4 linked regions of the Rhinolophus ferrumequinum genome follow. The protein of the gene in region 3 binds, or shares a complex with, the protein of the main gene of each other region. Links are inferred from orthologs where the notes say so. Each region holds a gene or a part of one and is shown on either strand. Other genes may lie near its edges.

What was found.
Region 1: GINS4 (region 3) and MCM5 share a complex: the UniProt entries of both Homo sapiens proteins name them as parts of the CMG helicase complex. The link is inferred for Rhinolophus ferrumequinum from reciprocal best matches to the Homo sapiens genes GINS4 and MCM5.
Region 2: the proteins of GINS4 (region 3) and GINS2 are in contact, whole or in part, in a crystal structure (PDB 2E9X), measured with the Homo sapiens proteins. The link is inferred for Rhinolophus ferrumequinum from reciprocal best matches to the Homo sapiens genes GINS4 and GINS2. Residues at the interface, in NP_115712.1 of Homo sapiens: Pro23, Ala24, Ile27, Glu28, Glu31, Trp34, Met35, Lys38, Phe39, Gln57, Met61, Leu73, Lys74, Ser76, Ile77, His78, Met80, Glu81, Arg84, Ile85, Tyr87, Val88, Ser91, Asp166, Asp168, Ser169, Tyr170, Val171, Phe172, Val184; in NP_057179.1 of Homo sapiens: Met1, Glu5, Phe8, Leu9, Glu11, Lys12, Phe21, Leu23, Asp24, Lys25, Ile26, Tyr27, Leu28, Ile29, Gly30, Trp47, Leu48, Asn51, Leu52, Arg55, Lys57, Phe135, Gln139, Glu140, Ala141, His142, Ala143, Lys144, Leu145, Asp146.
Region 4: GINS4 (region 3) and CDC45 share a complex: the UniProt entries of both Homo sapiens proteins name them as parts of the CMG helicase complex. The link is inferred for Rhinolophus ferrumequinum from reciprocal best matches to the Homo sapiens genes GINS4 and CDC45.

What each region holds. Positions count from the first base shown.
Region 1 is NC_046293.1:10,964,966-10,972,668, forward strand, and holds the start of MCM5 (DNA replication licensing factor MCM5), read right to left. Parts: upstream 3,220-7,703; 5' UTR 3,151-3,219; intron 2,920-3,150; 5' UTR 2,912-2,919; coding exon 2,745-2,911; intron 524-2,744; coding exon 397-523; intron 319-396; coding exon 190-318; intron 1-189. Other genes in the region: HMOX1 (heme oxygenase 1), read right to left, coding at 6,541-6,671, 7,548-7,647. UniProt on the Homo sapiens protein: Acts as a component of the MCM2-7 complex (MCM complex) which is the replicative helicase essential for 'once per cell cycle' DNA replication initiation and elongation in eukaryotic cells.
Region 2 is NC_046298.1:30,856,744-30,864,320, forward strand, and holds the start of GINS2 (DNA replication complex GINS protein PSF2), read right to left. Parts: upstream 3,002-7,577; 5' UTR 2,883-3,001; coding exon 2,793-2,882; intron 2,369-2,792; coding exon 2,254-2,368; intron 1-2,253. UniProt on the Homo sapiens protein: Required for correct functioning of the GINS complex, a complex that plays an essential role in the initiation of DNA replication, and progression of DNA replication forks.
Region 3 is NC_046287.1:58,829,782-58,838,006, forward strand, and holds the start of GINS4 (DNA replication complex GINS protein SLD5), read right to left. Parts: upstream 3,386-8,225; 5' UTR 3,236-3,385; intron 2,376-3,235; 5' UTR 2,357-2,375; coding exon 2,261-2,356; intron 1-2,260. UniProt on the Homo sapiens protein: Required for correct functioning of the GINS complex, a complex that plays an essential role in the initiation of DNA replication, and progression of DNA replication forks.
Region 4 is NC_046308.1:24,080,939-24,088,419, reverse strand, and holds the start of CDC45 (cell division control protein 45 homolog), read right to left. Parts: upstream 3,251-7,481; 5' UTR 3,152-3,250; coding exon 3,101-3,151; intron 2,975-3,100; coding exon 2,915-2,974; intron 2,124-2,914; coding exon 2,031-2,123; intron 510-2,030; coding exon 372-509; intron 1-371. Other genes in the region: UFD1 (ubiquitin recognition factor in ER-associated degradation protein 1), read left to right, coding at 4,027-4,029, 6,877-7,009, 7,365-7,397. UniProt on the Homo sapiens protein: Required for initiation of chromosomal DNA replication. Core component of CDC45-MCM-GINS (CMG) helicase, the molecular machine that unwinds template DNA during replication, and around which the replisome is built.

The sequences.
Region 1 (7,703 bases), on a different chromosome or scaffold from region 3:
TCAATGCCTTGAGCACAGGAGGAGCTCAGTAAACATTTGTCCAATGAGTTAATTTTACCGAAGAGGAAACAGGCTCGAGTGAGCTGTTCAGGGTCACACAGCTGGCACCCAAGTCTGCCTGTCTCGAAAGCCCCTCTGTGCCATGCAGCAGCCACTGCCACCCTCTTCCTGGCCTCTAAGCAAACCCACCTTCAGGCTACGAATGCTGGACGGGCTGGCGTCTGACTTGAGAATGACCTGGATGTCCTGGAGCACCTCCTCACCGATGGGCCGGGGCCGGGTCACCTCGTCAGCCACCTCCTTGGCAGCTTCCTCCAGCTAGAGAGAAGGAAGGGGACAGGCCGTTGGTGACGAGCAGGGCCAGCCCTGGGGGGTCAGAGACAGGGTCCCACTCACCAGCTGCAAGTGCTCGGCTGGCTGCTTGTACAAGAAATCAGCCAGGTCCTCGTCAAAGCTGGCCAGGTCCTCCATCTCCACCTCGATCCAGTACTCCCCCAGGTTGTAATGCCGCTTGAGCTCATCCCTGGAGGGGGCAGGTGGCAGAAAAGAGCAACCAACACTGGCTAAGGTACACCTGCACCCTGAACCTGCCCTTACCATCACCAACACTGCTCACCACGTCGCTCCCCAAACGCACACAGAATTCCAGGGGGTTCTGCAAAGGATCCCTGTTGTCACACAACAGCCTAGCAGCCTGCCCCCGACTCCCACACCCCATGTCTTTCCTTAAGGAAAGAAGAGTCTGTGAGACTGTGTATCTCTGGGACTGTATATTTCTCTCTATTTAGTCTCCAAAAGAGGGTTTGCGGCCAATGACGAGTAAGATTCCCCACGGCGGGGACAACTCAAGCCAGGCGGAACCCCATGGAGACCCCCAATGAGCTGCCTTAGAAAGATTTGGGAAGGGGCCTTGTCTCCCCTTCCCCCTGCCTGGGAAAAGTCGCTGCTGACTCTGGCTTCCCCTCTCACCTAATTGGGAGAAAAGTCTTGAGAGTGATAAGATTAAGCTGTCTCTGCTCAGCTCTGTGAAACAATTTCGACATGTGATATATGTCCCTTAAAAGAGTTGCATACCTCACCTCAAGGACTTTCTGCTTCGGCTGTTTGAAGATCAACATAATTGGTTTGGGTTGTTTCTATAACGTGGTGAGTCCCACAGACCGTGCCAAAAACACTGCTACTCCCTTGTATACTTATCAATAAAAACCTCCAGTCGGCTCATATCTGGGCTCCAGTCTTTCAGAACTGTGAGACCCCTGGCCTTCTGAGATTTAACTGCATTAAGTCTCTGTATGTTTCTTTCTTAAAAACTTAACCCAAAGCCACCCCTTCTCGCACCCTCAGTGCCCGTGTTGCGCTGGACGCAACAGGTCCCTACTGCCAGCAGAGGCAGCCTCCAAAGAAAGCTCCGTGGAAGGATATTTCAACCCTCAAAGACGAGGTTCCACGCACAGGTCAGTTGGGGAGACTCTCACTGCAAATCAGTGCTTCCATTGCAGGACTCTCTTGGGAAACTAACAAGGCACACGCCCCAGAACTGGGGAGGCACACGCCCCAGAACTGGGGAGGCACACGCCCCAGAACTGGGGAGGCACACGAGAGTAGACATTGTATCTTGTCAACCATCACAGATTCTTTTCAGAGCATTCCACAGCACGACTGTACCAAACACATTTGGGGACCACGGACCTACGCAGAGCCGGCTCCCAAGCCTCACCTCAGGCCTCATCCTCTTCTACCTTATGCGTGGGAGCCACATAAAGCAGCCTGTCTGGCCCAGAGAGCCCCTTGCTACAACAGGCCACCCCATACCTCTGCCCATGCAACTGCCATGTGGAATGCCTCCCACACCACGACTCTTCTCTCGGCTCAAGGGTCACCCAGAACTTTGGCTCCTCTGGAAGTCTTCCCCAACTCCTCTTTTACATTCCTCCCTTGAGGTGACTATCACTTCCTAATTTATGCATCGCTCCCACTGAGCTCTCGAAGGCAAGTAGTACGAATGTTTTTGCGTCTGTTATCTCAGTGTCTAGCAGTGTCTGGCACATGGGTGATCAATGTTAGCTTGTGCGTGAATAAATGGAAGCAGAAATGGCTATGCCCATTTTACTGACGAAGAAACTGAGGCCCAGAGAGACTGTCACCCGAGCCTGGACCTGCAAACGCATGTTTGAAGGGCCTACAATGATGTGGCATGATGTCACAGGTTGCACAATGACTAGAAGCAGGGACCTAGCCCAGATCGTTCAGTGCTGTAGCACCTGGAACAGTGCCTGGCATGCAGCAGGCACTCAATCAATAGTGGTTCCAAGAGAGGAATGAACGAATGAATGAGTGAAGTGAATCATAACTCCCACTTCACCTACTGTACCCAGAGACAACTAGGGTCAAGAAAGTATCTCTGACAGTATGTATAAGGACAGAAACAGCAGACAAACAGGAACAAGAAATGGACAACGAACCAAAGGGCCCACGTAGCTCCAGCTGGGTTGGCGGAGGCCCATTCAGCAGAAGACTGGCTCAAAAGTTAACTCCAGGTATAAAACACAGGAAACCATAGGCCATAGGTTTGTGGGGGGGAGGGGAGTGCCTGATGACGCACTGCTGGACCAAAACCCGCAGACCCGCGACAGGCTCCTCCTCCTCTCGTCCTGTTTCCCCATCCGTGTCTGGACTGTCTATGACACTGCAAGGTTCTCCGTGGAGACTGCCCAGCTCCCCTCCGCCCCCGCTCCGGCTCGCACCTGTATTTGAAGGTGAAGCCGGTGCGGTCGGTGCCCACGCGGTACTGCCGCAGGAACTCCTTGAAGCGCCTCTGCAGCTGCGATTTGCGGGCCTGCCCCTCATCGGTCGCGTTGTCACCCCCGAAGCTGTCGCTGTAGAAAATGCCGAGGTCGTCGAAGCCTGACATGCCTGCACCTGGCGGAGAAAAAGAGCTGGAGCAGAGTGGGGGCAGCGCGCGGCGACCGATGCCTGGGTCCCTCGCTCCGAACGCGAGGCGGGTGTGTCTCGACTCAGGGGTGGGGGACCCTGACCCCAGTTCTCCCAGGGGATACCCCTACCCACCCTTATTGCGCCCCCATCCATAGCCTACCGACCCCCCGTGGGGCGGGCTCCCGGGTCCCCACTCCCCAGTTCCACCGGCCTCACCTCTCCTTTCCGCCACTCCACGGACTCGGAGAGACAGGCACCCCGACACTCTCCGCCGAGTTTCGCGGGAAAAACGAGAGGCCGCGTTCGGACGCTGCGGCTGCTGTGCCCCAATTGGTTAGCCGAGGCCCCGCGGCCATTGATTGGACCGCTCTGCGCCCTCAAGCCCCGCCTCCAAGGCCAGTAGCCGAAGCGGATTGGCTGAGGGGCTCATGATGTCAGGACTCCTGGTCTCCTTCCGGGCTCCATTTTGTGTGGCGGGCAATTTGGCGCGAAATTTATGACGGGAAGGGGAGGGGTGGGGCCTGGCGTAAAGATGGTGGAGGGGTGGGTTTTCGGGCCGAGGGACAGTGCGGGCGTGCTGAGGACGCTTGTGTACTCTTCTCGAGGCTTTCTAAAATCTCTTGAGAAAAATAACTCCTTTCAGAGCCACGGGGTGAAAGAACCAAGGGTTCAGAAGCTATACGTCCCTACGAAGTACACGCTTGCGGGGTGCGAGCCCGCTGCCGTCCAGCGGGCGGGGGCGGGGGCGGGGGCGCGGCCACCTGCACCCCTGCTCCGTGTTCTCACAATAACAGACTCTTCTAAGATTGGGAGATTGATCAGGCACAAGTCACCTCTGGTCTCCTTAACGCCTCTGGGAACAAAATCGTCCCAAACTTAGGACTCAAGGATGTTTTCTTAGACCTAAAGGAGAATTTTTGTTTTAACTGTCGATTTTAAATTATTTGGAAATGCTTAACCTTGGCGAAAATTCACGACCGGGTTCCCAACTGAGCTTGAAAAATGGGAGTATTTGGCCAAACTCGTCGCGTTCTCAAGCAGCAACAAGGACGGCATACTTTTCTTCATTTCTACCCACCTCCCCTCAAGGACCTGGAAAGAACTTTGTATTGTCCGCCACGGTCACTCAAACATGTTTGCAAGGCATGTTTGAAATGTGTCTTTTCACAGTGTATAAAAATACCAAATAAATCGGAAACGCTTTTCTGCTTAATACTGCACGGAAGTCCCTCTGACGGGAAACATTTCATTCTATCTAACAGTGATTTAATTTTCCATAGTATGAATAGAAGGCAAACTATTACCATTTTCCTGAGAGTAGAATCAAGATGCTTTCTCTCCCGCCTCCCACCCGCCCTCCATCACCACCATGAATATCATGCCCCTTTCACAGAAAACTGGAAACTGGTGTCGTGCAGGGGACCCTGCTCGTTGCGCCATGTGTAGTGCAGGGGATCCAGGCGGGGTCTCTGCTCCCGCCCCCCACATAAGAACGCAGGGTATGGCTAGGCCAAAAAGGAACATCCACGGAGCCATAGGCAGGGGAGTCACACCACTATACTCTCGCTGGCGGCTGGGTTGGAGACACAGGAACCAGGAGCAACACAATTCTCAACCCTCACTGCACTGCTTGCAGGCTCAGCCACCATCTTCTTGCTAGCTCCCCCTTTTTTCCTGCTAGCCTAGCCACGGCAGTTATATTCATGGCTAATGGCTCACTGGTTACAGCTGACGGCCAACTAGCCACAGCTGCTGGCCATTTGCTCACAGTCGATGGCCATTTACTACCTGAGCCAGCACCTTTCTATGTGAGGCCGAGAGCCTGGAAACTGATTTTTGGGGCTCTGTCCCCACACTGGGCCCAAGGTGGGCAGAGCTGTAGTTGCTGTTTGAATGACTACGATTTGCATGCACCATCTCATAAACAGTGGCTCCTGTTGCTTGGCTGCCCTTCGCAATCTCCCGGGGAGCCTGTTATACACAGGGTTCCAGAATCTAGCCCCAGGTTTCCAGAATCAGAACCTCTCCAGTGGGGCCCAGGAATATCTGGGTGATCATGATGCCACCATCCACTGACTGGTGCTAGGACACCACTGGAGTAGGTGTATTGTTCTCATTTTGTCAATGAATAAAGGAGACTTGAAGTGACTTGTCCAAGTTTCCAGACGTAGTGACAAAACCAGAACCAGGGACAAAGGACGTCCTGACTCCCAGTCCTCACCTACTAGTTGTCTAAGGAAAGGCCTTGTCCCCTGCGCTCCTAAATACACCTTCAGCGAGGGGCTTTCACTGTCTCGGATTGGGATTCTGCATTTTAAATAAGCTGATGGCTTTCATGAGTTAAGGGAAAGGCTTGGGTCACAGAGCTGAACAGACCTGGGGTAAATCCTTCCTGCCCCTCAGGGTGGTGCCGCTCGTCACACAGACTCACTGTGAGGATTAAATGAGATGGCATAGGTGAGGTGACTGCCAGTACAAGAACCACTTAGCAAGAATCACAAAACCCCGATCTCCCTCGTTTTCATAATAGGGGCAAGTGTACAATGCTGGCATTTTACATGCATCTCATTTGCTTCACAGGCAGGTGAGGTAGGTCTCACTGTGTTCATGTTACAGGTGACACCACTGAGCCCCAAGAGGGGTTAGTAACTGACCCCTCTGTAGGCAGAGTGACAAAGTGGAGTGGCAGGGTCTTGAACCCAGGGATCTCTCGCTAGTCTCTAAGATTCACTGGACAAGACTCAAATTTTATCCCAGAATCTGCTCATTTCAGCCTAACAAGGCAAAGCTATCCTCTGTAAAGGTGAGTCTTGCGTCAAGCAGGGTTCACCACAAAGATACACCCACCAACTACTTAAAGCTCAGCCCCCATTCTCAGAACAGAACACAACATCTAAGACAGGCTCCTGCACCCTTTCTCCCCACCAGACATCCAAGAAGCAAGTGAGGAAAAGGTCAGTTCCCCAAGGTAACAGCCCAAGAAAAACACTTCAAGTTATATCAGGCAATATAGTTTATTATTTCACATAAAAGTTAGGGACCAAGGCCACAGTGCTGTTAAAAACACCTCTCTCCCCACCCAACCACCCTTACCCTGCTATAAAAAAAAAAAACAGAACACAACAAAATGCCACCCCAGTTCAGGCTGAGCTGGGAACAAAAAGTGGCTCCAACAAAAACAAGACAAACACAAGACACAACATCTTTGCACATTTATATGAAAATTGCCATGGCCCATGAGGAAAGCGTTCATGGCAAGTCAACAAGGAGACTGTGACCCCAGGGCCTTTGGAGGTTCAGGACAGCTGCTACTTCTGGCTGCTACTTCTGGGCTCTGCTGCAGGAGTAGGGGAGGGGAGTGTTCTGAGGGCTGGGCAAGGACCCCTCATCCCTCTCTGGAAGGTCAGGTCATTGGCTGGATGTACTTTTGGTTGGGAAGACACTTAAGTCTCCTTCTTCCTTTCCAGAGAGGGAAGGAGGGTGGGGGTGCTGACAGCCCCCCATGCCCAAGGGAAGGAAGCCAGCTGAGATTTTCCCTCTAGAAAGAGGGTCCTCCGCTGGACAGAGTTCATGGCCCCAGGAGCCAACACGTGTGTACGTGTGTATTCACATGGCATAAAGCCCCATGGCAACCGTTGCCACCAGAAAACTGAGTGTGAGGACCCATCGTACTAGTGGTGCCCGGGAGAGGATACTGAGCTGGGACTTCCCTCTGGGTGTCTCGATGGGAGTAGCATCTGAAAGAGAAAGGGGTCAGTGTCAACCACACAGATGCACAGAGGTGGGATGTCTGATGTCACAGAAAAACACAGCACAAGGGCCTCAGCAGTCTCTAGTACAGTCCCACTCAATGCCAGGATTCTACTACAGCACAAACAGGTAGCCCTCTAGCCACTGCTTGAATACCTCCAAGGACAGGGAACTTACTATTTCTCCAAGCTGTCTAGTCCTCACTTTTCAGCCAGCCCACCTTGTGAGACCATGCCCTCCCGGGGACCACACTTTGAGAACTGGTTAGGGCAACTACGCCTCACCCCACCAGGTAACCTGTCCTACCAGGACTGGCCACATTCCAACACTCTGAGGCACAATCCCACCAATAGAGGGGTCCACATGGTCCTGGCACATGTGGAAAAGCCACAAGGCAGGGGGTCAGAGTGGCACCAAGAGCCAAGAAGGCTTCATGGAAGCTGCCAAGCAGGCAGTGAGCTTCACCTCTCCACTCTACCCATTGTCAAAGCCACCCTCCCACCACGCATGTGTCAGGTTCGGTGGACGTCCATTTTGTGGAGCATTTGGGTCTCTTGGGACGTTTCCCAGATATTCTCTCAGCACAGACACAGCCTCTGAATAACTCTCTCTACTTTTGAGCCAATGAACTAGAACAAACTCAACCTCCCTTGGTTTGGGAGTTGGGGAAACTGAGGTAGGGAGAGGTGCCCAGACTCACACACTGGAGGTTGAAACCCCATGCCCTGTTGCCTGCATCCTACTTCTCATTTAAAACATTCAGAAGACAGGAGAGTTAAGCGATACTGGAGTCAGAGTGCCGGGCCATATGTCCCCCGCCCCGACAGAGCCCAGAGGAAACGCTGCTCCCCAGAGGCCCTCACCTTGCACCCTGCTGCCCGCCCGCTGGCGAAGCCCTGGCTCCTGCGAGGGCCTCTGGTCCTCAGCTTTCCGGGTCAGCCACTCCTGCAACTCCTCGAACAGCTAGAAGACAGAAGACACACAGTGAGAGATGGCGCTAGGCTCCAGCTAACGGTGGG
Region 2 (7,577 bases), on a different chromosome or scaffold from region 3:
TCCACTACCTTAACCCACACCCCACGTGATCTCGTCCTGCCTCATTTAAATACCACCTCTGTGCTTATGATGACTTCCAAATTTACATCTCCAGATCAGCCCTCGCCCTGAATTCCTGACTCAAATACCCCACTGCCCACACTGTTTCCACGTGGCTATCTAACAGGCACCTCCAGTGTAACACGATCAAACCTCCACTCTGGGTGCCCACCCCAGCCCACAAACTGCTCCTGCAGTCGTCTCCCTCTCCGGAAAAGGCAACTCCATCTCCTTCTGGAGCTCAAGCCAACCACCCTGGAGTTCATCCTTAACTCTTCTCTCTCACACCACGTGGCCAGTTCCGCAGCAAATCCTACCGATTCTTCGTCCTTCAAAATATGCCTAGACTCCAACCAGGACTGCCCACCTCCATCAGCTGACTGAGTCATAGTCAATTCTTGCCTGGGGAACTCTGCTGCCCTCCCCCACACACATCTGCTCTGCACAGCAGACTGACGCTTCTTTTTTAACATCTAAATCAGAGAACGAAACCTCTCTGCTCAAACCCTGCAATGAGTCAAAAGACTAACAACACCCAATGTTGGCCAGGATACGGAACACTGGGATCTCTCGGACATTTCTGGTGGGATTACAGTAACGGCTCCACCACTCTGGAGGACTGGTTGGCGGTTTCTTACAAAGTGAAGTGCAGTCTGCCCTATGACCCTGCAATTCCACCACTCTAGGTATTTATTTACGCAAGAGAAATAAAGACATATCCACAAAAATACGTGAACAAGAAAGTTCATCACCTTATTCACAATAGCCGACAGTGGGGAATCACCCAACTATCCACCAACGGAAGAATGGGTGAACAAATTGTGGAATGCTCATACAGTGGGGCGCTACTCAGCATTAAAAGAACGTAACGACACATGCAACAAGAGGGGTGAATCGCAAAAACATCACGTTGAATAAAGAGAGAGACCAAAATTGACAGACTAGATGATTCCATTTACATGAAGTCCAAGACAAGGTAGAACCCATGGACGGTGGCAGAACCAGAAGGCGGCTGGCTGGTCCTTGGGTAGGGTCACCAGGGAGGTCTCACTACTTCTCACCACAGTATGGCCCAGGCCTATGAAGAAACTGAGGCTAACCCTCTCCACACCTCTCTGACTCTGGCCTGCAGTGAGGCAGGTTCTTGCTCCATATCAGTTGGACCAAAACTGCCAGAAGCTGATCTTAACGAGGGGCCTTGTGGGGATGCAGCTTTCATACAGCCAGGCCTGGAGGGACTAAAAACCCCTTCAAAGCAGAAGGAATTGTTTCCCATTATGTGTCAAGACCACCAGGGCCATTCACCGCGTTAGGACAGGGAGCAAGGAGGAAATGCCCACGAGGCCTTTCTTAAACTGCACTTGAGAGTGCCGGCTGAAAGTGTCCTTGCTTCTAGGAGGCAGGCATCCCCCGGTGATTCCCAATGGGGAGGGGACAATCAAAATCAGGGCTTTTCAAATTGTACACGGCCCATTACTTCCCCCCCAAATTAAGATTCTGTGCCATAATGAGCCATTCACATCTCTGAGGTGGGGAGAAGACTACAAAGGGTAGACAGGGTAAAGTCTGCCTGCGTCTTTGATGACTTTTCATTTTCGCTCTAACAGCTTTACTGAGACATAAACATACCATACAATTCACCCTTTTAAAGTATTCCGTGGTTTTTAGTATATTCAGAGTTGCGCAACATTTTCATCGCCCCAGAAAGGACCCCCCACAATCCCTCCATCACCCCCATCCCTAGACAACCACTAATTTACTTTGTCTCTGTGGATTTGCCCATTCTGGGCAGTTCATATAAATGGAGTAATACAATGTATGGTCTTTCTGTCTGTTTTTCTTTTTTTTTTTCACTTAGCATAAGGTTTTCAAGGTTAATCCACACGGTAGCATTCCTTTGTATGGCTGAATAATATTCCCTTGTATGGAGAACGCATTCCTTTCGCACAGTCTCCGTCATGTAGGCTATGACACTACTCCTCAACATGTTGGCCTATAGACTTTTTAAAAATGGAAACAAAATGCGTAAGGTCACATCATACTTTTAAAGCAAGTTGAACTAGCTTAAAAAACAAAATCTGAACTAAAATGGAAATACACGCCCCAAATTAACACCAGTAATAGTGGTCCGTTGGCTCGAAGGGAATCTGGAACCCTTAATTTCAGCGGATCCGTGCATCATGGAGGCTCCCGGGACTCCACCCACGTTCTTACCCACATCCATCCACTCGGGAGGAAGCAACCGACACTTCTGTCTTTGTTTCAGGTTAATGGCCAGCCACAGAGGCACTTCCACTGGTAAGCCAGGATTAAAGGGCCCCAGGTCCCCCTGCCACAGGAAAAACAAACCCACGTAAGACAAAGCAGAGCCAAAGGCATCACTGGACCTTGCTGCTGTCAAATAGGAGAACGGGCAATGTATAATCGCAGTCCAAATACAAGCCCTGGAAGGCAGCCCCACATGTGCACTCGCGCGGTGGGGCAGGCCACACCTGGCAGCCCACGTGAGTCGTGTTCCCCGAGGTGCTGTGGGGAGGCCGTCGGAGAACACGTAGGAGGCGCAGGCTACCGCCGCCCCCGCCACACACACACACACACACACGGCCCCCGGCTCGGAACCTCGCCCCCTCCAGGCTGTCCCCCGAGGTCTGGGCACACCGAGTCCGCCACCCAGCTTCCCATCCTAGACTTGGGGACCGAGACGGGCGGCCCACCGCCCCGGCCCGAGGCAAATGCCGGGCCCGCACCCTTACCCCGATGAGGTAGATCTTGTCCAGACTGAAGTTGGGGATAATGGTCACTAACTCCTTCTCGGCCAGAAACTCCACCTCGGCCGCGTCCATAACGGCGCAGGCGGGCGGCCCAAGAGTCGCCGCCGTCCCCGGCCCGAGGGTCCCCCGGGAGGTGCCGCGGCGGCCTCTTTCCCGCCACCACGCGGAGCCCGTCCCCCGGCCGGAAGAACCCTCAGCCGGCCTATAGCAACGCGGCGCTCTCTGCGCGGCGGCCGGAGGCGGTGAGCGTGGCTGCTACGAGCCCACGGATTGGCGAGCTTGAACGAGTCTGGGCACTGACCCGCCCCCGCAGCCCGGCCCCGCCCCTTCGGGGACAGCAGCGGGCCCCGCCCTCATCTGTGGGCCAAGCACTTCGTGCCGCTTCCCCTCCAGCATCTGGCACTACGTTTCTTTGTCTCTTCACCGCCCTGGGTGCCTACCCGCCTACACCGAGTCTATGCCCCTTACTCCTGGGCCAGGAATAAATGCATTTATTCGGTCACAGCATTACCTGGCTAGACAGACACAGCTTCACTCCCAAGGGATTGAGGGAAGGCGTTGTTGCTTTTCATTTCAAAATCTTCTGCTTTCTCTATACTCATTGGTTAAAAATCTATTAAAATGTGGATTGCTCCACACCACCCACACCTTCCGATTCAGAAACTTCTGGGGAAAGGCTCAGAATTTGTATGTTGGCAAGCACCCCAGGTGAGGCTTACGAAGGGGCAAGTTTGCAGACTGCAGCAAATACGCATTGATGTGCTCATCTGTTCGTTGAACAGGTACTCGCTATACAGTGGGCTTGTGTGAAACCTAACAGTGGTTCTCAGTCTCCCTGCTGTGTCAGACTCCCCTAAAAGATTCTGAGTGGTAACATGCACACTCCTAGAAAATTATGATTTGGGTGTCTGGGGTGGGGACAGAAAGCTGAATTGTAACCAGGACCAGGGTGATTCGGATGGGGTGCTTACAGGCCAGGAAAGCTTCCTGGAGGTGGGCAGCCTGTGCAGGACGGGTGGGGACAAGCAGTGGACTGGACTTGAATTTGAAACCCTGCTCATTAGGCCCTAAGAAAAAGCATAGGGGACAGGAGGGTTCCAGGTTTCTGTATCTCTGCAGGAAAGCTGCCCCTCCCCCAGATAACCCCATTCTTTCCCCTCTAACCCCCCTGAAACCTGCCCCGTGTAGGGTTGGGAAGATGAAATAACAATATAATTAAGCTTTTGCGACAACATGGATGTACCTAGAGGGAATTATGCTAAGTGAAATAAGTCAGACTGAGGAAAAACAAATACCATATGATCTCACTTATATGTGGAATCTAAAGAACAAATTAAACAAAACAGAAACAGACTCATAGATACAGAGAACTGATGGTTACTAGATGGGAGGGGGCGGGAGGGCTGGGTGAGAAAGGTGAAGGGATTAAGAAGTACAAATTGATAGTCACAAAAGAGTCACGGGGATGTAAAGTACAGTATGAGAAATATAGTCAATAATATTGTAAAAGCTATGTATAGTGTCAAATGAGTATTAGACTTATGAGGGGATCACTTTGTAATTTATATAAATGTCTAACCACTATGCTGTACACCTGAAATTAATATAAAATAATATTGAATGTCAACTATAATTTTAAAAAAATAGTCACAGGAATATAAAGTACAGCATAGTCAATAATATAATAACTGTGTACAGTGTCAGATGGGTAATAATAGACTTATTGGAGTTACCATTTTGTGAGGTATATAAATATTTAATCACTGTTGTTTTGTACACCTGAAACTAATAAAAAATATAATTAAATTCTGCCCACTCAGATGGCATGGAAAGCATATCTGTTGTTTATCTGCCCTGCAAATTGTCATTTGCAGACCTGGAGATTACCTTCATGGCGTATCATTTATTAAGACAAATACTTTCAAAGAAAATAAAGTCCCTCTGGATGCTGTGGTGACCAAGGGCAAGTGACCACTCTGAACCTCGGTCTCCTCATCTGCAAAAGAGGTAGGAAAAGAAGGAGCTGGGGTGTTTAGAGACGAGGGGAAGCTGCGGACTACCTGGCCCTTCCTAAGCAGAAGCTCCCTTGCATCTGCAAAGAGTGTGTGCCAACTTGTCTGGGTTTTGATTGATGGGAGAATGTTTTCTTCCCTGGCAAATATTTGTATTCCAAAGTTGGCGAGGCTTCCCTCCCAGCTTTTGCAGCCTGCAAAAGAGCAAAGGAAAAGAGCTGGTGGGAAAGCGGAGGTTCTGAGAGGGACAGTGGGTGAGTAGGAGAGAAACAGAGCCCCGTGTCCATGTCACCTGAGTCCTGGTGTCCTTATCTGTTAAATGGGGACAGTGCTGCTGCTGACCTCACTGCCCTGTTCAGGGAGGAAGAGGAGACAGTGTGCAGCATCACACACACTGCAAAATGGTGGCATCTTAGAGTCTCAAACTGGAGTGTATATCAGGGTCACTTGGAGGACTTGTTAAATATCTTTCCCTTCACAGCAGCACAACTCACAACAGCCAAAAGGTGGAAACGACCCAAATGTCCATCGGCTGAGAAGTGGATAAACAAAATGTGATCTATACATACTATGAAATATTATTTGGTCATAAACAGGAATGAAGCACTGATACCTGCTACAATGTGGGTGAACCTGAAAAACATTATTGTGGGGCCAGAACTCCAGACAGCAGTTCCCAGGCTCTCGGCCTCACGTGGAAAGGTGCTGGCTCAGGTAATAGATGGTCATCAGCTGTGACTAGTTGGCCATTGGCTGTTACCGGTTAGCTATTAGTCACTGATATAACGGCCGTGGCTAAGCTAGCAAAATGGTAGTGCAGTGGTGTGGCGTGGTGGTGTGGCGTCCTGGCGTGGCGTGGCGTGATGGATGTGGATTATGGATTGCAGAGAGGTGGATTGCAGCTAGCAAGTGAGGTTGGTTGACAGAGACAAGTGGACGGCGGGTTGCGGATCATATGGCTCCTGCCTCCTGTGTCTCCAACCCAGCCACCAGTGAGACTATAGTAGTATTAATCCCCTATCTATGGCTCCGTGGGTGTTCCTTTTTGGCCTCACCATATCCTGCGTTCTTATGTGGGGAGCAGGACTAGAGACCCCGTGTGACACCCTGCGTGACAATTATACTACATGAAAGAAGCCAGTCACCAAAACCATGTATGATTCCATTTATATGAGCCTCCGGAATAGGTAAATCTGTACAGACGGAAAGGAAATTAGTTGTTGCCGGGGCTAGGGGAGAGAGAAATGGGGAGTGACTGTTAATGGGTACGGGGTTTCGTTTGGGGGTGATGGGAAAAGTTCTGGAATTAGATAGTGGTGGTGGTTGCATACTCTTGAATATACTAAACACCACTGAATTGTATACTTTAAGAGGGTGAATTTTATAATATGTGAATTATTCCTCAATAAAGCTGTTATTTAAAATGCCCTCCACGAAGCTCCAGGCTCAGACTTGCTGACTCAGAAACCACACACTTAACACACTCCCCAGGAGATTGTTATAATTGGGAAAACTGGGGAAGGAAGTGATTTGCCCCAGTCCAGTCTAACTCTGGTTCCAGATTCTGTCCAGAATAAACGGAATCATATCCAGACTACCAGGATCCGGAGAGGACTTCCAAATGCCCAGATTCCACCTGGCCTCTCAAAGTGGGGGTAACAAGACAGTAAACAGACAGGAAAACTAAAGGGGAAGGAGGAGGGGAGTTGGGAATGATGGAGGTGGAGTGCTACTTGAGATGGAGGGGAAGCCCTCACAACCATTATTTCCTGTTGTAAGAAACACCTCTGGGGCGGCCGGTTGGCTCAGTGGTTGGAGCGCAGTGCTCATAACACCAAGGTCACCGGTTCGATTCCCACATGGGCCAGTGAGCTGTGCCCTCCACAACTATTGAAAAAAAACACACAACGCCTTGACTTGGAGCTGAGCTGCACCCCCCCACAACTAGATCGAAAACAACAACTTGACACGGAGCTGATGGGTCCTGGAAAAACATACTGTTCCCCAATTAAAAAAAAAAAAAGAAACACCCCTGCTAAAAGGCTAGAATTCCCCATGTAGTAATGAATTAAGAGTTGGAGATAAAACAAATGGGGGTAAAGGGACAAATCTCCCCTGCAGAAGAATTCAAATGTATATATACATATATATACACACACACACACACACACACACATACATACATACATACATATATACATATATATATATATATATCCTGCCCTCAAGGTGGCAGCAAATAAGTCCCCACTCCTGAGTGTGGGCTGCCCAGAGAGACTTTCTTCCAAAGAGAACAGGATGGAAACAGAAAAAGAGTAACGTGACAGTGGAGAAACCTGACCAACAAGACCTGAGCCAGGTGATCAAGGTCAATATCAGCAGTGATAAGCCATGGTGACGGCATGTACCTTTGATATAATGGATGAGAAGGGCACTTTACCTCCCAAACCTACAACCCCAGTATAATCATGAGAAAAAACATCAGACAAATCCCAATAGAGGGACATTCTACAACACATCTGACCAGCACTCCTCAAAACTGTCAAGGTCGTCAAAGACAAGGAGAGTCTAAAAAACTGTCATGGCCCAGAGGAGCCTAAGGACTCATGATGACTAAACGTCATGAGGGATCCCGGATGGGATCCCAGAACACCACCACCAAAAGGACACTGGGGAAACACTGAGGAAATGTGAATAAAGTATGGACTTTAGTTAATAACAATGTATCAAAATTAGTTCCCTAATTGTGAAAAAT
Region 3 (8,225 bases):
CAGTTTTTAACTGTTGTGAACAATGCTCTGAACATTCTGTGCATGTCTCCTGGAGTACACGTGAACTTGAACGTGGGTGTGTACTGGGCAGTAGAATCACTGGGCCACAAGATGTGTATGCCTTCAACTTGACTAGACAATAACAAATTATTTTCTAAAGTGACTGAACCAATTACATGCCCCCCACAGTATACATGCTCTCCATCTCTACGTCCTTGCCAATACTTTATATTGTTCATCTTTTCCATTTCTGCCAATCTGATGGGTGGGTATGCAGTGCTATCTCATTGCGATTTAAATTTTCAGTTTCCTGATTAGCAAAAAGGTTGGATGTTATTTTGATATGGTGATGGGCCATCCTGGTTTCCACTTTTGGGAGATTCCTATTAAGACTTTCATTTTTCTCCTGGTCAATTTATAAAGTTTGTGTATTATGTATACTAATCTTTTGCCAGTTATATATTTTGCAAATATTTTCCCCCAGTTCTGTGGCACGTCTTTTTATTCTCAGGAAGATGTAAAAACAGAGTTCTTAATTTTAATGTAGTTGAATATATCAGTTTTGTCCTTCATGCTTTATGCTTTTTGATTTCCATTTAATAAACCCTCTCCTAATAAAGCAGGGGCTCTTAAACTAGGGTCCCCAGACTAGGTAGGCAGATTTCAGGGTGTCTGTGAAACTCCTGAAATTAGATGTAAAATTCTATATGGGTTGTTCCTTTGATTTTGTTAGTCTTGATGGCGTGTACGTTAGAAAAGAATGAAGAACACTAAAGTAACAAACATGAGAGAATTCTGGAAAGGGGCAGTTAAAGGGAGACAACAAGGGGCCGGCCCAGTGGCTCAGGTGGTTGGAGCGCCGTGCTCCTAATGCCGAAGTTGCCAGTTCGATTCCCACATGGGCCAGTGAGCTGCGCCCTCTACAGCTAAGATTGTGAACAACGGCTCTCCCTGGAGCTGGGCTGCCGTGGGCAGGGCTGCTGCGTGCTGCCCTGTGCTGCCAGGAGTGGCCAGTGGCCAGCGTGAGCAGCCGTGGGCTGCTGTGGGCCATGAGCAGCCGACAGACAACCAGCAACCGACAGCCTCAGCCGGGGGAGTGCAAGGCTCATTAATATCAGCGTGGGCAGGGAGCTGTGTCCTACACAACTAGACTGAGAAACAACGGCTTGAACTGGAGTGGGGGGGGGAGGCGAGAAAAAGTGGGGGATAAAAAGGGGAGACAACAAGAATAAGGCAGTAATGTGTAGTGGATTAAGAGCATGAGTTTTGGAGTCAAAGAAACCTGGTTCATATCCCAGCTCTGCTGCCATTGTGTGACCTTGGGCATGTTACTTTATATCTCTAAGCTTCAGTTTCCTCATCTGTAAAATGTAGATAACAATAATACTTGCCTCACTGGGTTGTTGTAAGGATTATTACTACTCACAGCTAACATTCAGTGAGTGCTTGTCATGTCAAACAATATGCTAAGCACTTTATATATATATATATATATATATATATATATATATATAAAATCTCACTTAATCCTCACAACTCTATGAGGTAGCCACTATTATTAACTTCATTTTATAGTCAAGAAAGTGCTTGAGACAAGCTATATAACTTGCCTAAGGTTGCATAACAGACTAGTGGCATGGAGGGGTTTAAATACAGAGTCTGAACTAACTACCAGAGCTTCACAGTTAATTGTAAATAACAGTTATTAGCACACAGGAAATACTCAAACCATAGCTCTTATGACTAAAAAGAGAGACAGCCTAGAAATGATTTTAGATAAGCAATGGAAATATAGAGAATAGTTGACAAAAGAAAGTACCTGGGAGGAAAAGGAAGAGTAAGACCAGTTTAATCCTAAAAAAGGTGTTTCAGCTCTTTCTTGCTAACCCAAGCATTCTATAAGTAAACAGCAGGTGTTTCAAGGGACTAAGGCATAAAATTTACAAGTCTCCACTACAACACTTCTGTAGTCCATGAAACTACCAAGTAGCAAATCTTTGCTCTGTGAACTGTTCTACTCAATGTATCCAAAGCTGTCCCTTACTGGCCCCACTGGAGAAGTTTGTGTTTGACATGAGTTCTCTAACAAAGACTGTTCCCCCCACTTCTTATTTCTGGGCAGATGGTAAGACCCAGTCACTCTTCTCTTGAAATAAGCCTTGAATCCCATTTCATCGTTTCCTGATTCCCGACATTTGCACAGTTGGACTAAATAAAAAGGCTAAGATTGGCGCAAGGGGATTCTATTTGGGACTCTTACCTGCTCCAGCTTTTCAATGAGCTCTGCAGGAGTTAGGACCACTTCTTCACTGCCCGCATCAGAGTCCTGTGCCGTGAGATCCAGTTCCTCTGTCATCTTACCTGAAACTGGGAACCTATTAAGAATAAAAGAACCCATACCTTTCTATATGTTTTCCATTTATTTGCAAGAATAGGCAACTACATACTACAACAGGTTGTAAAGGCTCATTGGCAGTGGCTAGAGAATTCATAGGCTTTGATATTTTCAATTCTTTGCCTCCTTCAAACCTTAGGTTAGGTTATCAGTTCTCACCTCTTGTGCTTCCAGGCACAACTCTAACTGAGCACCTGTCACACCATGCAATAATTATTCGTCTTTCTGGTAGAGATCCTCTCCTCAGGGTCCTTGTTCACTTCAGTTTAAAGATGAATTACTCTGTGCCTGGCACTTGTAAGAACTGGGGACATACCATGTTTCCTGAAAATAAGACCTAGCCGGATCATCAGCTCTACTGCGTCTTTTGCAGCAAATATTAATATAAGACCTGGTCTTATTTTAATATAAGACCCGGTATAATATAATATGTAATATAAGACCGGGTCTTATATTAATTTTTGCTCCAAAAGACACATTAGAACTGATGGTCCGGCTCGGTCTTATTTTCCGGGACACACGGTAATTGCCTGTGTAGTCCCTGCGCTTAGCACAGTGCTTAACTCATAGCAGGCACTTAAAATTGTTGGGAGAACCAATCAGTGTTGCAAGGCCCAGCAACATCAGACTAGACAGCGATCCCAAAGCCCTAAGAAGATGGGTGGCAGGGACGAGAAGTCGTCCCCGGAGCCTCAGGGAAACAGAGCATATTCCTCTCCCTCCTCTCCTCTCTCGGTGCCACGAGTCTGGGTAACCACCTCCTCTAACACACACACACACACACACACAGCGCACGCGCACACACATACACACTATCAAAGGTCACACTCGGATGCTCACCTGGTCACCTAGGAGGCAGAGAGGCACCCCAAAGTAGCAGGAGATTAGGACGGGAAGCTCGTGGGGGGAGCAGCACCACTCTCCCAAGGAGAACCTGGGGGCAATTTTCTCTCCCGGACGTAATCAACCCTTCACTTCTCAGCTCCCGCGCTCCTCTTAGAAACGTTCCACCTAGCTAAACGTCACCGCGCACGAGCGGCACTGACCAATCACGACCCGGTGTCCTGGTGGCCCCCCCCAGGGGGCGGGGACTCGAGGCACTGCCGGGTGTTTTCCCTCCTTAAGACGCGGCGGGAGGCTGGTCCGAGTTAGCTCCGCCCACCTCGGCTAGCCGCGCTTGTGTGCGGTCCCGGCTAACATCCCCGAGGGACGGTCGGGAGGGGGCGCCACGCTACCGCGGCTGAGGGGACGAGGCCGTGTCTGTCTTCCGGCCATCGGGGAGCATCATCACCCGAGTATGCCCTGTCCCGTAGGGGGGACAACAGAGAAATGGCCTCTGTTAAAATCAGGTCACTTAGTGTGCTGGGTCATCTTCACCCACCAATCTTGGGCCCTTCTGGTTCCTTCATCTTTGCCGGCGCTTCAGTTATGCTACTACTTCCACGTCTAAAAACTTTTAGGCTAGTGGTTCTTAAAGTGTAGTACCAGATCACCAGCATCAAGGTTGTCTTGGAACTCGTGAGCAATGCGGATTTTCAGGCCCCACCCAGACCTGCTGAATCAGAAACTATGGGAGGTGGTTAAACAGACTCTCCAGGTGAGTCTGAAACAGATGAGGTTGGAGAACCACTGCTTTAGGCAATGCTTCCATCTCAGCTACTTGAGTCTAGGTTATTTTGACATTTACTCTTTATGCCGTCTCTACTTTAATGTAGGGCAAAACTATATACTATCTTTATCTTTTTCTTTGTGTGATGTCAGTTTTTCTTCTCTTAATTGCTGATGCTTTTCTCTCTGCTGTCTGTTTTCTGGAGAAAGTGTCACCTCTGACTCTCCTCGAAATGTGTTTTCCCTATTAGTCTGAAGACTCTTTTCTTTGCGGTGTTTCCTATGCCATATTGTTTGATTAGAAAAAAAAGTTTGGCTAAATGATAGGTTGATAGTACCTGCCTGATTGCAATCATGGTATAAAAATAATTACAATAGAATATAACTGAGTGAGAGAGTGGGCATATTTGCAAAGGGCTATGGAAGCTGGAGGACATCAAAGATGGACTCCAAAAGGAAGAAACATTTGAGTTGTGCCTTGCAAAATGAGTTTTGTTAATGACAAATAGATGGTCTTTTAAGGTCTATTTCTTTCAGCTCTGCATTTCAGTGATTTGGTAATCCAACGGTTTTTAGTTGTGGCAGATTGTATTTTCCAAAGATAGCTACTCTTATAAAGATCTCACCCCAGTACTCTTCTTACAATATGGCGTTGACACTCCTACATCGAGAGGTGGGGTCTATGTTTTTGCCTCTTTAATCTGGGAAGATCTTGGTAACTGCCTCTACCAAGAGAAGGTGGCAGAAGTGATGCTGTGTGACTTTTGGAGCTAAGTCATGAAAGGTGGTGCAGCTTCAGCCTGGCTCTCTTTCTTGAGCTACACCCTTTGGAAGCAATGAGCTGATATGTAAGAAGTCTGGCTAGCCTGTAGCTGCCATGCTGAAGGGTCCATGTGGAAAGGTCACACAGAGATAGAAAGTGATGTTCAAGGAGCCCCAGCAGCCCCAACTGTTCTGTCTTTCAGATGTCTGAGTTGAATGCACCTTCAGATGATTCTAGCTCTCAGACTTTCAGCAATCCCAGCTAACATGGAGGGAGCTGTCCCTGCAGAACTCTACCCAGATTGCAGGTCGGTAAAATATTGTTGTTTTAAGCCCCTAAGTTTTGGGATGCTTTGTTATGCAGCATTAGATGATTGGAACATTAGTATTTGAGCACAGTCCCGTTCTGTAATTCTCATTACTATCTAGCTTTTCAATGGTCTTTATTAAGATTCTTTAAGTGTTGTAGATTTGAATCTAAGCACCAATAACTACTCCACACAAGTACCAGTTACTTAGTTTACTTACTCAAACTTCCTTTCTTTGGTGCTGTCTTCTCCAATCTCCCACTGCAACTTTCTTGGGGAGGTGGAGTCTAGCTTCTGCTTCCTTATTTAATAGAGGTGCTGCCTGACACAAGTCACTTGTCTGGGCTTCAGTTGCACTGCCTATTAAGTGAGAACAATATGTACCTTCCTGCAGGTCAAAAATTGGGGATGGTGGTCTTCTTTCACTTCTAAGATCATTGATTCCAACTAACATTCATCAGACAAAACCACTTGAGAGTAAAATGAGTTTGCAGAGAAGGATTTCTGCTAGGTAAGGAAGGAGAATTTAAGGCAATGTCCAAAAACAATATATAGAGCTACCTGGGGGAGGCAGCTCAAACTTTTTGTGAAACTGTTGGTCAAGTGGCACTGTAAAGTTCAGGAAGGTGGGAGAAAAGACAGGTCATAAGTTACATTATGTAGAATGAAGAGAAAAATCCAGAAGACCTGGTTGTTGTGCACTCACTGTTAAGAAGTTTTAGAAAATAATTACATGGCGATATAAATGGCCATTCATTAAAATAATCACATAGAAAAGAGAATTACATAGGTTATGATAGGAAGATGAAGTTTGATGGTGATAAATAAAACTGTAGGACAGAATTTGTAGGCAAGTTATGATGATTAAACGAGCAAAATGAACATGCTAACATGAATTCAAACAAGCAAAACATGAAGCTACAAACATAGCAAAAAGAAAAGGCTTCTGCCCAAAGTTGAAGAGGATACATAAAATAGGACCCTATGCAATTGAAGAAGGTGAAAAGTCAATGTAATTTCCAGATAATTCTCAATGAAGAAATTTATTTCCGTTAAAGATGCAGCAAATAGAAACAGCCAAAATATTTGTGGATAGCTATGGAAATATACAATAATAAGAATGAACGTATTTTTTTTCAATCACCAAGGATAAAGATAAAGTATACATATCCATATGATATTGTGAGTCTTTTTACAGAAAGATACTTTTGAAATACAAGATAATATCATCATTATTGTTTTCATATCATCACTGCCCTTGCTCATTTGGTCAACAGCTGTTTCTCACTGTTTCCTTTCTTTGACTTTCATCACATTTTTGGTTTCACTATCCTAAGAACCAAAGAATTAAGCTTTGGGGAGTGTAGTACTTAAGCAAAGTTTAACCCCAAGTTGTTCTGAAGGAATGAAAATTTGGACTAAAGATAGGAAACTAAGAGGGCAACTTGGATTTTTTAAGGAAGGCAGAAAAGTACTCTATGAATATTTTCTTTGGCCTCACAAGAAAAGCTATTGTCTGGTGAAATTGCAAGTATTTTTCTGGCCAGTGGTAAAACGCTATACTGCTCGTGTGCCTGAGATGCTGCGAAACTCAAGAGGTCAGGGCCAGGTTTGGGTCTCTCTGACAAATGCAATATCTGGGCAACTCCTGATAGTCCTCATTCCTTTTTTCCTTTCAGACTTTAGCTGCTCATCCCTTACTCAAAGCCCATCTTTATTTCAAGCACGTTTAATTAACCCATAAATGTCCCCCATAAAGATACAAACTTTACAAATCTAAGGTTTGAGATCATCGTTTCAAGAGAGTTTACAGGTAAAGGTGAATTATGTAGCTTTGTAATATTGTTTAACTAGAAAACGTCTGTCCAAATCTTTGGTACCATGTTCTCTATTTTCTCTACCTGCTCCTTTATAGGAACATAGTGTGACTCTCCTTCCCTAAGTTTGGTCTTAATATGTTCCTAGTTTCTGGCACAGACACATAAACCTGACCTCCACCTCTGTATTTTGTCTTCTCGTGGTTAATAGGAGGATGCTTTCTTCTCATGACTGCAGTATCAGCCTTGAGAATAACAAAAAAGAGTCAGTTTGCTATGGAGGGGTCCTCATATCTTCTGAAAAGAAAGCTGACCCAGACCCCTGACTTCAAACTCTGCTCTAACCAAAGCTTCCCGAGCCTGGACAAAGACTTGTAGATGCCGTCTCCCCTCTTTGCCTCAACTTTGTCAATAGGGAAGCAGAGGCACCGATACCTGCCAAAGGCGGCTGCCTCCTCGAGCAAAGAGTAAGATGATATTCTCTCATTCCAGTGTTATTATTTTACACTCTTGAGATTTTCCTTGGCAGAGAGTAAACAGAGCACCTGTAAGCTAGTACCTCATTGTCCTCAGGCTTAGACAGCTGCACTGAAGAAGGCTGTTGGAGGATGGAGTAAATTCCCTTAAGAGAAGTAGGGAGGACATCAGGTGCTGGGGTGATTTCAGTCACTCTCTGAAAACAGTGCTGCTGATTTTCTTGTAGTTTCGGGCTTCCTCCCTTACACTATCTGCTCCAGTCGTGTCAAACTACTTTAGGACACGAGGTGTTTTGTCTCCTTTCTTTGCACATGCTGTTCCCTCTTCCTAGGCTTCTCTCTTTCCATTGAACCACCTGATGAACTCCTATTCATCCTTCAAGACTCAGCCAAGGTAACTCTTCCTCTGTGAAACCATCCTTAACATACTACCCCTTATTTAGGTCACCAGTATACCTTATACTATTCTGATATAACGTTTATCACGCTATATTGCAGTTTTAACGTGTCTGTTTCTCCCATTAGATTATGAATTCCCCGAAGGTATCCTCCAAATTGATCGCAGTGCCTGTCATTCATGCACACATTTATTTCTTCATTCAACAAATATTTCTTGAGCATCTAGTGATATTTGAGTGTCTACTACCAGGTCCTGTGTAGGTGCTAAAAACAAAGCAGTTGATGGGAAATACACACCCTGTGGAGGGAGATAGATAATAAACACGTAACAATTCTTTGTCAGGTGGTGATAAAATAAAATTGGGTAACAGAGAGTGTTGGGGTTCGGGACATTTAAATGGTTGGGATAGGCACCTGTCTTCATCCATTCGGGCTGCTATAACAAAATGCTAGCGATTAG
Region 4 (7,481 bases), on a different chromosome or scaffold from region 3:
TCTCACACCACCATCTAGCTCGTCCTCACACCATCCATCAGATGAATTCAGATGGCTCTGAGGTCCTTGATATTCAGTGAGGCCAGGCTGGGTCTGAGCTGAGAGCAAACTGGGTGTAGGGTTCTGGTCCCTGTACCTCCCAGATCAAGCAAATCCACAAATGCAGTCTGAGCACCTCCAAGGGTTAGGTGCCATGTTTCTCATCAAATATGGACAAGATCAAGTTCTTGTGCTCAGGCTGCTCCAACTCCTGCAGAGGAGGTGGATACATGCCTTACTAAGGACACCAGGTGCAATGTCCGTGGCATAAAAGGCACAGACAGATCATTGGGAGAATTCAAGGGAGGCATGGGCCCCAAAGGCCTAGTTACCTGGGTATCATTGTATACATTCACGACATTGACTGGCCTATGGGTGTCACACACAAAAAATACGGCATCTTCATCGGGTTGAAGGATATCCAATAGGTCTATGTTAGCTCCACAGTTTATGAGGATAAAATAATGGAACTGAAAAAGGAAGAGAGATATTGTGAAGTAAGTGCATCAAGGAGGCCCCTTTACTTTCAGCACACTAGATCTGAGTCCTGCTGGTGAGATCAAACCCGACACTTGGCAAGGCCCTGAGGGTAGGGGCTCCAATATGGCCATAAATGCCCTGTGCTTAGTGCTTTAACATACTCCATATACTACTTCATTTCCATGACAACACCATGAGGTAGGCCCGGTGGCTGCCCTTACTTCACTGAGGAGCACGCAGGGGCTCAGAACGTGAGAGTCTCATGCACAGAATCAAGAAGCTGATGAGGAGCAGACCAAGACTTCAAATGAATAACTGGGCCTCTCCAGACATCAATCACACTATTGTGACGAACTGTCTCTCCACGCTAATAGCATTCCAGTTTTAAAATTTTAGCAAACCTTGGATAGCCCATTCTTAATGGACACCTAAATATTAAGTCTTTTATTACATCCCATCACTATAGAAAACCATTTCCTTATAAATACAGAACTGGCAGAGGTCCCTCCCATGATAACAGGAGCTCCAGGCAAAGGTTTACCTCTGCCAGACAGTCCTAGATATGGCCAGACTCCAGGGACCCTCTTCCATACTCCAGCCCCTCAATCTATCACATTATATCCGGTACTGACTTTATTCTACCTTCTTCATCCTCTTCTCATCAACCAACAAGAGTGGCCAGAACATCTTTCCTTTTCTTATTCATGAATAATTTTGTCTATATGTAGGCCTTTTGGGGTTTGAGATTCTTCCTCAAGTGGGCTTGTCAAAAAACTTCTCAGCAAACCTAATTCTTAAACAGGATTTTGTGAAAACAGTTTTTTCTAACTGGTTACGTTTTTAGGTTCTTATAACTTGATATATTCTTTCTTTATCTTAGTACCATCCAGGAGCACTCAATGTAAAAGAACAAAGTTACTGAAACAGAATAGAGGTGAGACCCAGAAACAAGATTACTTGGAAAAAACTTACTGAAACAATAATTCATATTTTAAATGCTTTATGATTTTTAAAATGCTTTTCTCCCTATGTGTAGTAGAATTAACACTAACTATGCAGAGAGGATAGCGTGTGTGTATAGAAATGAGATTGTATGTGGGGTCTAAATGTACCAACTCTCATGGCCGCATGTAGAGGTGGGAGGAATCCTGGCAACCACTGTTTAAAATTACAAAGGGAGAAAATATTTTCCTGGATTCCACGTTGGAAACTGGGATACGTTTTCTTGGAGAAATAACGTAAAATTGTAGTCTAATCTAAAATAATTTTAACTAAGCCATATCTAAAAATAACTGCTAAATTCCAAGCACCTTACAATGAAATGTCTGCCACACAAGTTCAAGGTTAGAGGCTGTCCATATTCACTATCTTTTTTTGTTGTTGACTTGAGGGTAAGTCCAGACATAACAGCTCATTTTTCTCTTTGGTATTGCCTAATATAGTTGGTGCTTAAATAAGAAATTGCAATTGAGTAAAAAAAGCCTAATTATTCAAAAATACATCTCACATACTTGTTCTTTATGTTCAAGAAATGCGGTTTCAAGTTCTTGCCACCCAGAAACTGGAACCAGCGTATACTGCACGTGGTCACACTGGAACAGGGCCTGGAGAGAGATTATTTTCAAAGCCTATCACATTTAGAATGTCTAATTTACTTTGAAATGCACTATAAACAAATAAGATGGGTTATCAGACAAATGACAGATAATAAACTAAGGGTAGTAAACTGTTAATGGGAGGAACTAGGTGATGGGGATATGAGTATTCACTGTACTATTATGCAAACTTTGTCGAATTTTTGAAAATGCCAAAGAAAAACATTCGGAGAAAAGCTGATCTGATTTCTGGAATTTTCTGAGAAGTAATTCCAGAAGCAAGGGTGTAACCAAAGCTCATGTAAACATCCATCACACCATATTCTAAACCGAACCAATGATCTTCTGTAATAGACTAAGGGATCCTGTATTTCCAGCATTGCTTATGGCACCACTATGCCCTGTTTTCACAGATTCCTCTATCTCAAATCCCACATTTGAGAAGCCACTACAAGTCTATCGGTCTCTCTAATGCAGCCAACTTTTTACCTAGGTTATTGCAAAAATACTAACTAGTATTCTTGACTGTGCCTCGTCCTTTTCTAACCCACCCAATACTGTACTGCCAGAAAGGCGACCTCTCAAGAGTCTTCCCCAGCTTTCAGTTGTTGTTGCTCCAGACCTTACCCAGCCTGAGCTCTCACCCAGGAAGGGGTTCCTTACCCTGCTTCTCACCTCCCGCACAGTTCCCTACCCGACCCTGTTCCCTCCGGACCTTGTACGTACCACCTCCCGCCCACGTCTACCCTGCACCCTCACCTCTCGCCAGGCCCCACCCTGCCAGAGTCCTCAGTGCTCACCTGAAGGATCTTGCAAGCGCACAGAGAGTCCACGTCCGAAGCCACGAAGAGAAGGACCCTCTGTTGGGGGAAGACAGGGCGAACTGAGCTCAGCGCCTCGAACCCGGGTCCCTCCCGCCCTCCCACGGCCGCTCCCCCTCATCCCTTCCCCGTGACAAGGCCTCGAGGTCCAAGAAACGGGGTCACCTGGTTCTGGACCACTTCGTAGAACTCTTTGCGGAAATCGGACACAAACATGACCACGGCGGCCAAACACCCAGAGCTCGCGCTGAGACACCCAGGCCCCGGCGGAGGTCAAGACTCCCGCCAAATCAGGGCTCTTCCGATTGGCCCACGAGCCAATCAATAGGTACCTAGTTCCCATCCTTTCCTCTTTTATGATTGGTTCATATTGCGGCGACAGTAGCCTTCCGCCATTTACGGCTGGAAAATTCTGGCCCGGCCCAAAAGAGCGTCATCACCAGGCAGGACGGAAACACGTTTGCACAACACAACGCTAACTCCCATTTACCCAGAAACTCCAGGCTCGGTGGACATCTTTAGTTTGGGCAGAGAAGCCTATAACCCCCCCGACTGGAACCCCAGGCAAAAGAAACCACCTCACCTTAAACTAAACTTATTTATGCATCGAACGAAAGCGTCGGTTTACGATTTCAATAGGCTCTCAGTCTAGTTCGAAAGCAGATGAATGACATACTTCCGCCCGAGTCCTCGATGGCTGACGCAAAGGCCGGAAGATCTACGTGCATTCTGGGTAGTGTAGTCAGTAAGGAGAATGGGCCCAACTAAATTCATCTAGAGGAGGGTACTGTCAAAACGTAATTTAAAATAATTTTTTAAATTACTCCAGAGTGGACAACAATTTGGAAAAGGTACTTTATTGTTGATTTCGGGGAAACTTTAAGCCCTGGCGCCTTTGCCTGGCTTTTTCTCTTTTGCAGCCGAGCCCTGTCCTCGGCACCTCCCCCCTGGTCTAAAGTCTGGCACTTCCGGTGAGCCTCCCGGGGCATCCGAGGGGAGGCGGCGGCGGCAGCTGTGAGAAGAGCAAGTTGGTGGACTCCGGTCGTAACGTTCCTTAGACGAGGCAGCATCTGGGAGGCTCAGGTGCCATCATGGTGAGCGCGGCCGGACGGGCTGGGCACTGAGGCTGGGGTCGGGGGCCGAGATTGGGGTCCAGCGGGGCGGACTTAACGGCTGTGGAGATGCCGAGTCACCCCGGCCTGAGCCCGGCCCATCTGCCCGTCCCGGGCGCGGCGAACAAGACCCAGACCCTTGACTACGAACAGCCTCTACTCTTCTCCCTAGTTGGGGACTTGGTTCGCATTTCCTCTCAGTTGGACTTGAGCTCCTTCCATGTTTCAGTCCACCGAGGGGTCTCGCAAGTATTAAACACATAACAGGTTTCCATAAACACCAAATTAATTGGAAGGTTATTGCAGAATCAGGGGCTTTCTAGGAAAAATGCATGGGGGAACATCCAGTACCTCCTGGTCATGCATGGGTGGTGATCATGCCTTCTGCTACTTAAGCGATTCAGTAAAGATAAATCGTAGCTAGTATTTGCTGGCGCTTTTTCTGTTACACAATTTTTCATTAACATCTACCGTCCCTCATTACACTTTATCCCATTTAATCCCTACAGTGCCCTTGGAGGCAAGGATGATTCTTATTGTTTTAACCATGAGAAAACTATGATTTAAAGAGGTAGTTTCTGAAAGTTTGAAGCCAAATCTGGCTGCAAAGATCAGTCTCATTACCACTGTAATCATTGCCTGTGTTACCTGTTTATTTCAGTAAAAACAAGGAATGATTATTAGATTTTATCCTGTGTGTTAGTTTCGAATCATATTTCTGTTCTCAAGTTTATCCACTTAACGGATTTGAATACCTGCTATGTGGTAGGCAATATGCTGGGCATGGGGATTATAAAAGTAAAGTAGGAGGGGGGTAAGTAAAGTAAAATGGGTGGGGAGCAGTAGGGAGGGGCAGAAAGGTTCCGCGGTGTTTTGAAGGCAGAGTGGTGTAGGTGTTAAATACTTTGCACATTTTTCTTTCATGTTGCAAACAGGAGTGGCTTAGATGGGAGGTAGTGAGAGGCACTTAGGGGAGGCGGGACTCCTCCCCTGTCCTTCATCCAGAAACACTTTCATTTGTTATACTTCTGGCCAAGATTTTGTTGAGGAGTTCTGCTGGTTAAAAGAAGAGAGACAAAGGTTTGAAAGCTACTGTACTACAATAGAACACAAAGTGAAGAACCATTTGAGATTTTAAGCAGGAGCATGCTGTATTTGCATTTTAGGAAGAAGGCTGATTCTGCTTGTGGAATTAATTGTGGAATTGCTAGTAAACTACTTTATCGGTAGATGGCTTTCCCTCTACTTAATGTCTATTTGGAATCAAGTCAAGAAATATTTGTCTATTGTGAGATTTTTAAAAAACTTGTGGTGCAAAACACATAATATAAATTTATTATCTTAACCATTTTTAAGTTCACATTATTGTATAATGGGTCTCCAGAACTTTTTCATCTAACAAAACTGAAACTCTGTACCCATTAAACAACTCTATTTCCTCCTCCCAGCGTCTGGCAACCAACATTCTATCTACTTTTTGTCTCTTGAATTTGACTACTCTAGGGACCTCATATAAGTGGAATCCTATAGTCTTTGTCTTTTTGTGATTGGTTTATTTCACTTAGCATAGTCTTCTCAAGCTTCAAGACGTGTCAGAATTTCCTTTTCAGGGCTAAACAATATTCTTTTGTATGTATACACCACATTTTCTTTATTCATCCATCAGTGGATATTTGGATTGTTTCCACCACTTGGCTATTGTGAATAGCACTTCTGTGAACATGAGTGTACAAATATTGAGCCCTGCTTTCAATTCTTTTGGAATATACCCTATTGTGCGATTATATATATATACAGATTTTTGAAACATCATAATAATTGCAATACTTTGACCCCAGATTGCTGGGTAACATGTTTTCTAAGCCTCATTGTAATCCACAGTTTTAAGAGCTAGCATCTTACCTTCTTGATAGCTTTATTTATCAATGGAAGTGTGGAGTTCCACCGTGTGGCACAATGTGAGAGCACATTGCAGGGGTACCAGCCCTGACCCTGAGCAGAGCAGCAAAGGTTCCTGGAGAAAGGATAGTCATGGAAGCCAGGAAAAGGGGTGCAAACACCAGGCGCCTGCTCTTCCCACTGCCTGGAACACTGTTCCTTGTTTTCTACTTGGCTCCCGATCGTGGCATTCAGGTCTCTGCAGAGAGTCCCTTCCTGACCACCCACTTACACTAGAATTCCCAGGAGCTCTCTGTCCCTTAACCTCTCGTCCTCAGAATGTTTATCACTGCCTCACGTGCGTCGTTTGTTTGTTTCTTTTGTCTTGGGAATGGCAGAATATGAACTCTGCCGGGGCTGAGGTTGTACTTGTTTTGTTAGTGAACAGACTTCACTGGAATGGTGTTTCCCTAGTTCTTAGATCAGAGACTGGCAGACAGATTTTTTTTTAATTAAGAGGAGAAAGAGGAAAAGTGTACCAGGCAGGGGAACCAGCCCAGGGTTGGGGGCGGGTGGCATGTGTAGGATATTGTGGGGCCGTCGGTAACCACTCCCTGAGGTATGTGAGGTCTGGTCTGGATTGCAAGGGTGGGAGTGGGGGCACTGAAAAAGATTAAGAACAGGCGTGACTGCCTAGTTATTTCAGTAAGGTTGCACCACCTAAAAATGGAGACTAGATCAGGCTTGGCAGAAAGAATGGAAACAGATTTGAGATTTACCGTGATACTGGGAAGTGCTTCAGGCAGACCACTCTGGTCCATCAGGATTTCGGTGCATCTTGTTCTTTGAGGGTGTTTAGCAGCATTAACCACCCTGACCTGTTTTGGCTTTTGACAAGAAGAAATGTACCTTTATTTTGTTCTAACTCTGGCATCTCTTTCCTCCTTCTAGTTCTCTTTCAACATGTTTGACCACCCAATTCCTCGGGTCTTCCAGAACCGCTTCTCCACGCAGTACCGCTGCTTCTCCGTGTCCATGCTCGCAGGGCCTAATGACAGGTCAGATGTGGAGAAAGGCGGGAAGAGTATGTGCTTGTTTTTATTTTGAATAGTAACCTTTCCTGCCCTCAGCCTGCAGTGCTTATAGTCTTAAACAGTCCTTATTTTACATGTGTAACAGAAGCTCCTTAGAGTCAAAATGTTGCTTGCTCCAGATATGCGGGGTTCAAATTATGATTAGATTTATGGCTAGTAGCCATTCAGTTCCCCAAAATAAATGACAGCAAAGAAAGTTCTTTATGAAAGATTATTACGAAATTCTGGCTTCCGTACAAGTATTGTTTAATACTTTTTAGAGATAGAACAGAAACTGCATTTTGGCTTTTGTTCTGTCCTTTTAATTTTTATATTCTTAGTATTTCTTAAATATTTTCTCCACAGTAATTATGCCACCCTCAGCCCTCGATCAACTCAGTAAGTATTTTCTTTCTACATCACTTGAGAACTGAGGTAATGTCAATATGGAGGCCACGTCTGGTCGGGAATTGTCCCTGGAGG